Oryzias latipes: one gene and its partners. The protein of the gene in region 1 interacts with the protein of each later gene in a pairwise test. Links are inferred from orthologs where the notes say so. Each region holds a gene or a part of one and is shown in the gene's direction. Other genes may lie near its edges. The genes, in order: fhl3, rfx3 and mrm3.

Region 1 (3,753 bases):
CTTTATTTCATCAATTTATTTCCAAAACCAGTTTTGATTAAGAAAACATGTCTTTTAAAACAAACAAAAGTGGTAGCCCACTTTTATTTAAAAAAGGAGTCTTACATCAACAGTAAAGAGAAAGCGTTTTTTGTCTTTTTTGTCTTAAAAAAGAGAGAAAATATCTTAAAAGGAAAGGCAATGCATGAGTTTGAATAGTTAATTCCATTTTCTTTGTAAAATGTCATTAAATTCTATTAAAAAAATCTAAATTAATAATGATTCGTGTTTTTAATGATTAACACTGAAGTAAAGAGCATTCACTTTGTCAGAGCATAGGTCAGCTTAATCCTGAATAAGTCGACTTATTCGTTTGTCTTAACACAAATGAATCATTTGAACTTAAAACACTGTAAAAAAAAGAGGAATGTAATTTAACAATTAGATCAATCTTTAACCCTTCGTGGTCATTTTTGGAAGGATTGTTTATGTCCCTCCCTTTCAAAACAACAACCATAATAATAATACATATAATCCTGTGATGTAATTTCATTGATGGTTTTGCTATTTTTAAAGAAATCCTTCAGAAGCCTCCAGCACCTGTGGTCCACACACTCAAACATCTCATGACATGCAGGCTTCACATATTCTGCTCTAAACTCAAAACAAACAAAATTCTATTATAACCCACTGCAATGCAATGTTGAAGAGACAAAAGAGCCTTGCAAGAATCTCCCCTCTTGCCTGCATGGGCCTTTTCCACTCTTGTTTGAAGTCGCTGGAAAGAGGGAGGGAGGAATGCCTTTTTTGGGGGGGCGGGATCTTGTGACTCACCAGCAACTTCCTCAGTAGTAGGACAAAAGTAGCCGGCAAGCTGCACCCCTCTGTGCTGCAGAGTTTTCATGCTTTGCTTCCACTTTCGGCTTCTCCCATCAGGGGTCGCCACAGCGAACAAGTCGCATGGTAAATTTGGCAATGTTTTACGCCGGATGCCCTTCCTGACGCAACCTTCTCAAACCGGGCTTGGAACCGGCAGAGGTAGAGAAGGGAACAGGGAGCAGACCGGAGTCGAACCCGGGTTTCACGAATGGAAGGCGCCGCAAACCAGCACGAGCTAATGACAAGCAGATAAAACAGAACGTTTCAGAGCCGGAGAGCGACACTCCTGAGCTTTTTCTGTGAGCTGATCCCTGTGCTGACCTGAGCGGCCGTGTGCTGACCTGAGCGGCCGTGTGCTGACGGGAGGAAGGCGGCTGGATCACCACCACAGCAGCTTGGAAAGGTGCCTCCACACTTCAATCAGTCTGACTGGTAAGAAGAGACATTTTGGCTCCATCATTTTCATTGAGTAACCTGTTGATCCTAAATCAAACACAGGTGTGTATGAATATATAAGATAATCTGGGTTCTTTCAAGTCCATTACTTAGTCCTTTATGACTGAATGAAAGTATAGTTGGGGGGGAAAGGGTTTTGAGAGTAGGCTCAACCAAATATCTACAATTCCTGAAGTAGAAGTATCTGGTTGCGTGTTTAGACATTGTCTAAATTTGCTGTTGCTGTCTTTAACTTTTTCCCTTCCCTCTCATTCAGTAATTCAGTTGTGTCCCTCTGTACACTCGTAGAGTGTACAAGGCGGAGGAAATATAAATAACATCCTTCCGATGAAGAAACAGACCATATTAGCTTGTGTGACCCTCTGAACTGTGCATATGAAGGATTCAGGAGCAACTGTTTTGTCAGAGAAGTTCAAGCTGAGCTCCAAGTGAAGCCTTCACAGGACTAAGTCCCACAGGCGAAACTTGCCTCTTTTTTTCTGCAAAAGGGGAAAGTGGCAAATAGCAGTAAGAGTGTGCAATGGGTGTGTCTATGCTGTAGCGTCTGGAGTCGTGCAGCACCTCATGGTACGTGTCATTGTGATGACAGTTTGGCTCACCTGCTGGGTCATGTGGGTGCAGTGGGAGGGTGAGGTGGTCAGCCTTGACTGTAAAAAGTTTAACAGTCTGTATAACAGATAGAGGAAGAGATTGTTTTAAATCGATGCCTTTGGTTCACAAAAAGCTCTTCCTTAAGCTCTGATTGAATATAGTCTGCTGAAACAGGCAGCAAAGAAAGAACTGGGGGTTGTTCTGACATCGGTTGCAAGAGAATCCCAGAATTTTTGGGAGATTAAAAGGTCTTTCACAAACAACTTAATCTTGATTTCCAGACAGAGAAAAATTGCATTGATTCTTCATGATCTTGACCCAACTAACAAACTGCAGCATGAATAAAAAGAAATAATGTCAATGTCCTCCTCTTAAACATAAGCAATCCTTTTTCTGCAGTATAGAACATACATTTTAATCTGCTGGTTTGTCTCCAGCGTGGTAGACAAAAAGAAAATCTCCTGATCCAACTGTGAGTAGATGCAAGAGAAGATACAGCTGCAGCCTGGACATAGAAGTCAACATGGTGCTGTAGTATGCCTCTTCTAAAAGTTTTTGGTCTGAGGAGTGCTGGGGTGCTCTTGCCACCTACAGGTTTTTTTCTTACATGGTCAGTAAGGATAACCAGCAGAGGAAACACCCTTTAACTACATGTCTCTTATTCGGTTCCATTTAGCATCTGGGAAGTTTGCCTTGACAGAGCATACAGAGCTGCATAATGTCATTGTTTGCTTTTTTCCTCCCACCGCCTCCATTTCTTTGACCATGGTCACATTCTTCAGAGGTCCCAGTGTTTTCCAAAGGTTAGCTCTGCGTGGTTTTTGGACTCTGGCCAGTTCCAAAACTGCAGCAGGACTGCAACCAAATAATTTGAACTGGTTTTAGCAGCCTTTATGTGTTGGCACCATTTGAAACCTGGCCAATGGTAATGATGGAGGAGTTGGCGGTCAAGTGTTTGCAGGTGGTTTTTGAGAGCAGAATTGGAATTTGCGTTGATGTAGTCCTCTTGTGACATTGTGCAGCTGTGTGTTCCTCCATTGGCACAATTTGTGCTCGTGTAATTGCTCAGTGCCTTAAAATCCCACGTGTGGGTGTCTGATCAACAGTCCTACATCACAGAGTTTCGTTTGTCTTCAACTTCTACATAGTTTTACTCTCCACCTTCACTCAAAATGTGAAGTACAACCCAATAATCAGGTGCCTGTTTGAAAAGCTTACTTATTGAGGTCTCAGTAATAATTAGTTATAATTTTGGTGGCACTGTCTATTATCAGTACCTGCTTATCCTTGTGGAGTGTCAAAAGTTCAGGGCAAAGGCGGGATGCGGCCCGATAATTCCATCACAAGGCTTTGGTGAAGTTAAATAAGTCCGTAATGTATTAGGTTTTGGTTCTAATCTTTTTGGGGTTTTTTCTGTAAAAAAATGATTAAAGGTGCTATAACATATAAAGCTTTGAAAATCACAATAAAGATATTTTGGAATTTAAAAAAAAAAGGTGCTATGACAATAAAACCATAATGCAGTGCCCTGGATTGAACCTCCTCAAACAGCTATGAGAACAATAATATTGGTTTTGTCATTTTGTGTGTATATATATATATATATATACATATATATATATATATATATATATATGTGTGTGTATGAAAGTGTAGCACTGGAACTTCAGCATGTTTAAATTGGTTGTTATGGTAGTCAGTTCCCTCCTTGGTAGGATGTGGGGGCGCGTGGCTGGCTGTTGTAGTGTGTCTGCATTCCCTTAAAAAGGGGGGAAGTGACCTCAGATTTCCTGTGAGGGGATTGCCAGGTGCTGTAGTGTTATTGTGAGGGTCGCAAGGCTTCCTCCG
Region 2 (3,727 bases), on another chromosome or scaffold:
GGAATAACAGCTTTACCAAAAAAGCGTCTGTTTAGTAACTGGCAGTTACTAACTGCTAATCAAATACAAATAAAAAGAAAGGCGGTGTGTTGGATACAGGTGGTTTGTTAGGCTTTGTGTCCAGCAGAAGCCAATGCCTGCTTTGTTTTAACATTGTTCTTCCTTTAAAAAACCTGGTTTGATGAAATAGTTTCACCTTTTGCACCCGAGTTTAGTTCAAAAGAAGGACACCATTTGTCTGCAAGTGCTGAAAATAATATTTAAATGATAAATATAGTAACATACATACAAATAAATTGAGTACATTAAATTATTGAATGCATTAATATTTGTCAAAAGAACATCGATAATTAAGCAAATAATAATAATAATAATAATAATAAAGTTATTAATCAACAACATGAGCATAATAGGGGTGGGATTATAAAATTTGACTTCCGCACATTCCTTTCTAAGCAAATAATTTAATTCATTTTGAGAAACTTCACATTAAATGGATTTGATGGGTTATGTATTGTATAGGTACAATCATGTCTATTTATGATTAAGAGTAATTATAAGGACATCATTTACAAGTGGATGTACATAGATTTGTATGTTCTTTTACTTTTATTTCCCAAACCTATATATATATATATATATATATATAAATTCCAACTGAGTGCATGAAAATATATAATTTCTCACCTTTAAATTAAATATGATACAGAAGTATACACGATTTATCAATTGCAATGCAATTTTTGATAAATATACTGCAGTGTAAAACAACCACAACATTGTAATAACATGGAAAACAAAGTAATGGCTAAATACATTTTATTTATTTTTGTATTATTTAAGTCAAGACTTCGAAGTAATTTGATTGAGAGAGAAAAATATCGGGGAATTTATCTGTACATGCCCCCCGAAAAAAGGAAAGAAAAGAAAGACAAAAGCCGAAAGAGAAGCAGTCCAATCAATTCATCGATGGTTGAAATCGTTTTATTCCTTTTTGATTTTTGCCGTAGGTATCGCCGCGCGCTCCTCCCACCTAAGGTTGCGCGCTGCCGGTGAGTTTTATAGCAACTGTTGCCCGGTGAGGCAGCGCCATAGTCACCGTAGTCCTGGCGACTGTAACCCACCAACAACAACCTCTCGCTCCATCATTACCACCTCCTCCATCATCCTCATCTTCATCAACCAGTCCACGGCTCAGGTTTGATTTAAATCCTTGACTATTTTTAGCATAAATGTAAGATGCTCCTCGGCGTCACAGGATATGAATTTTATCAGGGGGGGTTTGATGCTGTTGGTTTGCGTTTTGTCTGCTGTTGGATGAAGGCTCGCTGGGTAGCTGTGGTAGTTTTGCTAGCGAGGGTGTTTCTTTGTAACGTGTTAGCCTGCGTGCTAACGTTGCCTGTGGATACTAACTGAGGCGAGGCGTCCTGGTCGCCAACAGAAACCGGCTGTGTAGCCTTTTACAAAGCTTTACGGACCGGCCCGACTCCATTTTGTTCTAAAAAACGAGCTTTTATTCGCAGAGAATTGGTCTGAAGTTGCCATGCTGAGTGGTCGCAAAGGCTAGCCAGTGATGCTAACTGGTCAGCTGGAGCAGGTGTCTGTTGTTGCTAGGTTGCTAACGCCAGCGATGTCTGTTGCTGTCCCATTTTCGGGTAAATGTTACGGTCGGGTTGTGTGTTTCCGCGTCGGGTGATTCAGCGTTTTTTGCCGCTAAGAAATCTGTTCGTCGATTAGCAAAGGAAAGTGGTGTGTGCTCGCTGGGCTTTCACTCTCTAATAGGTTCACAATAGCTGAGCCTTTACTTTCCCTTTTGTCTTAGGGAGCAAGATCGCGGCGTTAGCTCTCCATCTGTGCTCTTTGTGGGATCAACTGGTAATAATGATAAGAACGCGATAACATCAGTTCTGTAGGGATCAGTTACTACACAATCAGATTTATATTAATGTATTTCAATATTTGAGGTAATACAGGATGTTCTAAATACTAGCTCTGTGCTTTTTTTCACAATATTTACTCAAAAAAATGTATTGGTTAATAAAAAAGAAAAAGTTGTTTTATTTTCAGAAAAAATGTTGGTTTTTTTCAGTGTGTTTATTCATATTTTCTAACTATAATTAAACACACCAATTTGCTGTTTCAATTTCTGCCATTAAACAGAATAAAAACTAAAAACTGGGGAGACCCCATGATCCTCCAGTCGTTTTTTTTTTCCATGTTAAGTTTCTAAGTGTTGCATCACATTTACTCCTGGGTCCACTTGGTCTCCCGCTCCCCTGCAGCCTCTCCTTCCCATTAGGAGAGGGAACAGGTGTGCATGGGTTTGTGTATCTTTGTCTGTGTGTGTGAGTTGCAATAAAAAAAAAACACACAAGGGTGAATTCTGGTTGTGACAGAGGTAGTAGCAGTGCTACTTCGTCACCTGTCTTAAGACCATCTGTAAAAAGTTTTTTCTTTTCTTTCCATCCTTAAGTTTTTTGTTTAAGCCAATTATTTATTCAGCTGTTGTAGTTTTGTTGGTGTGTTTGACCTGTTGCATAAGGCAGTTTAACAGCTTTAGCTACTGATAAAGGATGTTTTGTTAAACGATTATATTTTGGCACAAGGAAAAATTTATAAATGACTCATTGGCTGCAAGATCTAAACTCCAAACACACCTAAATTATCATCCTACCACCACCGTGCCAAGAGATGACTTTCAGTGCTTTCCTTGATTCGCTACATTGAGTTTTTAGCTAAAACCAGTGCTGGCCAATCGTCATTATTAACTTGCTTTCCTTTGTGTTCATTTTTGATGCACTGTGCTCAGCAGGTGGAAATTCGTACAGATTGAAAAAAATTGTAATGCTAGATTTATATACTCTCAATGTTCTTGTGACAACCAAACAATTATTTTATTGCAAAAATCTTCTTTACGCAAAAAAAACAAAACTATTTTCTCTTTTTAGATCTGGTTTACTTCATTGAGTGAGTAATAGTCATACTCATACTGTCAAAATATAGAGTTCAATCAAAATGAGTCAGTCCCCTGTTGCAAATTAGGTATATTAAATGTCAGCTGCAGCAACAAACAAATTAAAATTAGAACAATTGTGTAACAGCTGCAGCAGTCTTTAAATAATTTAAGTCCTTGCATAGAACTGCGGCTGTAGAGTTCAGATTAAAAAAGCCAAATCCATATTGCGATTTGTCTGTGCGTGTGTGTGTGTGTACCGTAAATGTGCAAAGGCTATGCATTATATTAAATCTAAGGTTGCAGCAAACGAAAATAAAAGAACGTAGGAAATAAAATGGATTTAATTGAAAAACATAAATGTAATTAAAGCGAGTTGAATGACTGAAAATAGTTTGGCACAACACAGATGCAAATCTGTGCACAGGCAATCACAGCTGGTTTGCTTGTTATACAATACAGCAAACCCCTGCTGGAGAGGAGTCCTAGTATTTCATCGCCTGACAGATGGATGTGTGTCAAGAGAACAGTTCAAAAGTTAAGAGATGGGGTTTAGCAAACCATACAGTTGGAAACTGTTGCCATGAAATGAAACTAGCTTTCAGGGGCCGTAGATTAGACGGCTCTGGGATGTTTTGACATTTCTAACAATAGAAATTTGCACGATTCGTTCAAATAACAGGAAAGGCTGGGAGACGATCCTAAACGAAATCCACCAATGTTTGGGTTCTGAGGAGGTTTTTTAAGATTTGAAAGGTGGAGTCGCACTTGTCT
Region 3 (3,753 bases), on another chromosome or scaffold:
GGAAAACAGGCAGGGTTGAGGCTCTTCAGGACCAGGGTTAACATAATAGGCCTCCATCTGATTGGTCAAGAATGGGAAGGCGTCCATCTGATTGGTCAAAGCATAAAGGGATTTATTTGATGTGTTAAATGCTTCAAGCTGCTAGAAGATTGTTTTAACACATTTTGGGTTTGCGATTTATTGCGATATTCGCCGTCTTTTGCGATATGCATATTGCAGAGCTGGATATTGCGATAACGATAAATTTGCGGTATATTGTGCAGGCCTAATTGATACATCATTTGTTTTTGTTAAAGAAGAGAAACAGTCAGCCTTAAAAGCTCAAAATTTAATGAAATGCATTGTTGCAGGACTTCTTACAAATAAAAAAATTATTACAAAGAATTTGTAAAATAATTTCTAAACATTTAGAAGTTTTAAACCTTTTTGACATGTACTTTAAATTATTTAGAAAACCCAACAATAAGTCAATAATAATAATAATAATAATAATAATAATAATAATAATAATAATAATAATAATAATAATAATAATAAAATAGTAAGTCAATAAACAATAAATAAATAACAAGTCAATAAATAATAAAAAAATAAGTATTTATTATGATAACAATAATAGTATAAATATTCAAAAGAAGTCCAAAAGCGAAAAATAGATTTACCCTAAAAGAACAACAATAACAAAAACAAAGAAAAACAATAGATTTATACTGATTCATGTGAATGATCAATTTGTGTAACACAGATGGTATGGTGTTGGGTTTCAAGCAAACAGTCTGGCCTCTTATCTAAATGTGTTTCCACAAATGTTTTGAACATAGCCAGACTGTATTGCTAGTTGGTTCCACAGTGATCCATCTGGGTTAGCTCTTTTGATAACTAAGATCCACTTTTTCCTTAAGTCTGAATCCATTGGAAAACTGCAAGAAAAGTTCAGTCACTGAGTCAGAAATGTATAAATCTGTATTACTATAATAGCCTAGTATGCTGTATACAGGTTTAGCAAAATAAAGTGTACATTTATGTCGACGGCAAATTCTCCGTACATCATGCAGCATGTTGATAATAGCCCTGCAGCATCATGCATGTCAACATGTGTATGATTAATGAAGCCCCTGCAGCATTAATTGATGAAAATTCCAGTACTTACCTGTGAAATGATATACCTTCCTCCTTCATGGACTCAGTTCTCTGATTTCGGCAGTTGAAACCCGCACAATGAACTGGTATTATGCAAAAAATGTGTTCACATGCATGCACTGCAGTAGTAACTTGACCTCATCAAGATGGCGGTGCTCTCCTCCCATGAGGAACCACGTGATGTCTCCTCTAGTGAAACAACTCATTGGTATCGCCTAACCTTGGCGACGTCTTTTCTCGCGAGACAATTTGAAAAACTTTGTTAAAACAAAACTCGATATTATTGAGTCAATAACTTTAAACCATGAGAAACACTCAGTAGCTTGCAGAATATATTAAATAACTCGAACATGATCGATTAAACTCTTGAAATTTCCTATTAAAATGTGACCAGTACCAGCCAATTTGCACTTGATGGCAATAACGAGCACATGTAGCTTTTTAGAAAGAATAAAAAATAAAACAGAAGAAGACTAGCAAAAAAGAAAAAATGGCGGCCGTCATGAGAAGCATGGTTTGCCTTTTCCCCAAACAGCTTCTTTCAAAAAGCTGTGGCTTAATAGTGGAACCAAGACGTTTTGTCCGCGGACTGAGGAGAAAACCTGCCAAGGTTTTATTTCCTGAACAGCAGACGGGTAAAGTGGTGAAGCCAGCCCCAGAGAGCGATCAGACTGCAGTAAACCCACAGAGGAAGAAGACAAATGTCACCTCTGCGACAGCGCAAACGGACAAAAAGAACCCTGTGAGGATAAGAGATGATGCAGATTCGACTGTGCAGCATCCCCGGGCTGCTGGCACGAAAGATCAAGTTGATGGGTTGCGCTTTGAAAGGGCTTCTCAGGGAGACAAAAGGCTGGCGTGAGTAAACAAACTCAGTGGGTTGGAGAACTGTTTGGTAGATGTTTGGATGGCCAAATGCCTCGTTTTTTATTTGACAGTCTGGTAACATTAAAGTTGGTTACTGGTTTCAGTTGAAACTTTAAAATCAGGACGAAGGTGACCAAAAGCTGCATTTCTGCTTGTTTTCCTACAAGTCCTGCTCTGGCATGTTCTGTCTAACTCTGGTTCTGATCCTGGTAATCAAGGCAAATATTTCTGGAAAACATGCAGACACACCAGCCTTTGAGGTCAAGGGTTGTCCACCCCCGTTTAAAATGAATGGGTGTGTGTGGAGAGAGTGGGGTTATTCATGCTTTTTGTAACCATAATCTCTGGGAATGTCATCTAAGATGCCAGTACCTCAGCACTGGTCAATTTTTCTTTGTCTTGTAAAAACAATTCTGACAGTTTCCATTTACATTCACACTTTGCATTTTATTGAAGTCTCATTTTGGATGCGAGGGGTTGAGGGCATTCTGTGTGTTTTAGAATTGGATTTTTAATTGTTTTAAACCTGTAAACCACTTTGTGTTACTGCTTTATGAGGAGTGCTTTGTAAATAAAGTTTGACTTTGAATTTGAAGTATCCACAACAGAACCAGTTCAGATGTACTTTGTGACTTAAATGTGATTTGTGACCAGAACTGTTGTCCGTGTAGATAATCACTGGCTGCCTCTTGCTGGCTTTCAGCAAAGCAGAAAGTGCCGTTTGATCGCTACAACCTCAGAGGGTAGTTATGCAATTTGATGCCAACAATGAGGAGATTGCTGAACTAACCGTCTGGGTAACAAGAATACATTGTATGTTTAGCAATTTCACTTAAAAATTTGTTTCCTAATATTGCCTCTATTGATAGTATTGTTGTCCAATTAACCAAAATATGGTATCTTTTTAAAACACTATCACGCTCCAAGTTTCAAATTAAAGCTATATATGCTTTTTTTTTTATTCCAATAAATTCTAAATGGCAAACTATTGTTCATGGCTGTTCTCCACATGCTTGTGCTGCAGGAAGCTAGTGAGTGTTGCTCGGTCCAGGACATTTCGGGAGCACCAGGGTAAAATCCTCCTGGAGGGCAGGCGTTTAATCTGCGACGCTCTGCACGCTGGAGCCATGCCGCAGACGGTGTTCTTCAGCACAGTGGATCGACTCAGAGAGCTGCCCTTGGACAAACTGAAAAGAGCTGCGTTGGTGAAAGTCAAATTTGAGGAGATCAAACTCTGGTCTGACGTTGTGGCGCCACAGGGAGTGATAGGTATGGGTCAGTCAGTTCTAATGAACAGACATTCTGAGTCTTTTTTTTCTAACTTAGAAACTTTGATCCGCAGCAATATTTTCTCGGTCCGACCCGTCACGGCTGAATTATGCAAACAAAGGTCAGTCGGTGGGACTCTCTCTCATCTGTGACAACATTCGGGACCCTGGTAACCTTGGGACGATGCTCAGGTGTGCTGCAGCTGCTGGTTGTAGTAGCATCCTTCTAACAAAAGGTATACCAATGTTTAAAAAAAAAAAAAAGTTTTACTCTGCTTGTAGTTTTACTAATTTGTCTATTATTTGCCCAACAGGCTGTGTGGATGCTTGGGAGCCAAAAGTCCTGCGTGCTGCAATGGGTGCACACTTCAAGCTTCCCATCTATCCTAACCTGGAATGGGGTGATATTGAAAACCATCTTCCAGCATCTGTGACTGTCCATGTAGCTGACCACAACTGTGGCTCTGAGACGGAACTA

What was found.
Region 2: the proteins of fhl3 (region 1) and rfx3 interact in binary tests that used the Homo sapiens proteins (3 or more experiments, as listed by UniProt). The two-hybrid records come from large-scale screens. The link is inferred for Oryzias latipes from reciprocal best matches to the Homo sapiens genes FHL3 and RFX3.
Region 3: the proteins of fhl3 (region 1) and mrm3 interact in binary tests that used the Homo sapiens proteins (3 or more experiments, as listed by UniProt). The two-hybrid records come from large-scale screens. The link is inferred for Oryzias latipes from reciprocal best matches to the Homo sapiens genes FHL3 and MRM3.

What each region holds. Positions count from the first base shown.
Region 1 is NC_019874.2:23,737,328-23,741,080, reverse strand, and holds the start of fhl3 (four and a half LIM domains protein 3), read left to right. Parts: upstream 1-1,002; 5' UTR 1,003-1,290; intron 1,291-3,753. UniProt on the Homo sapiens protein: Recruited by SOX15 to FOXK1 promoters where it acts as a transcriptional coactivator of FOXK1.
Region 2 is NC_019870.2:13,046,859-13,050,585, reverse strand, and holds the start of rfx3 (transcription factor RFX3), read left to right. Parts: upstream 1-888; 5' UTR 889-1,198; intron 1,199-3,727. UniProt on the Homo sapiens protein: Transcription factor required for ciliogenesis and islet cell differentiation during endocrine pancreas development. Essential for the differentiation of nodal monocilia and left-right asymmetry specification during embryogenesis.
Region 3 is NC_019871.2:10,297,194-10,300,946, forward strand, and holds the start of mrm3 (rRNA methyltransferase 3, mitochondrial), read left to right. Parts: upstream 1-1,420; 5' UTR 1,421-1,630; coding exon 1,631-1,998; intron 1,999-3,031; coding exon 3,032-3,276; intron 3,277-3,349; coding exon 3,350-3,511; intron 3,512-3,589; coding exon 3,590-3,753. UniProt on the Homo sapiens protein: S-adenosyl-L-methionine-dependent 2'-O-ribose methyltransferase that catalyzes the formation of 2'-O-methylguanosine at position 1370 (Gm1370) in the 16S mitochondrial large subunit ribosomal RNA (mtLSU rRNA), a conserved modification in the peptidyl transferase domain of the mtLSU rRNA.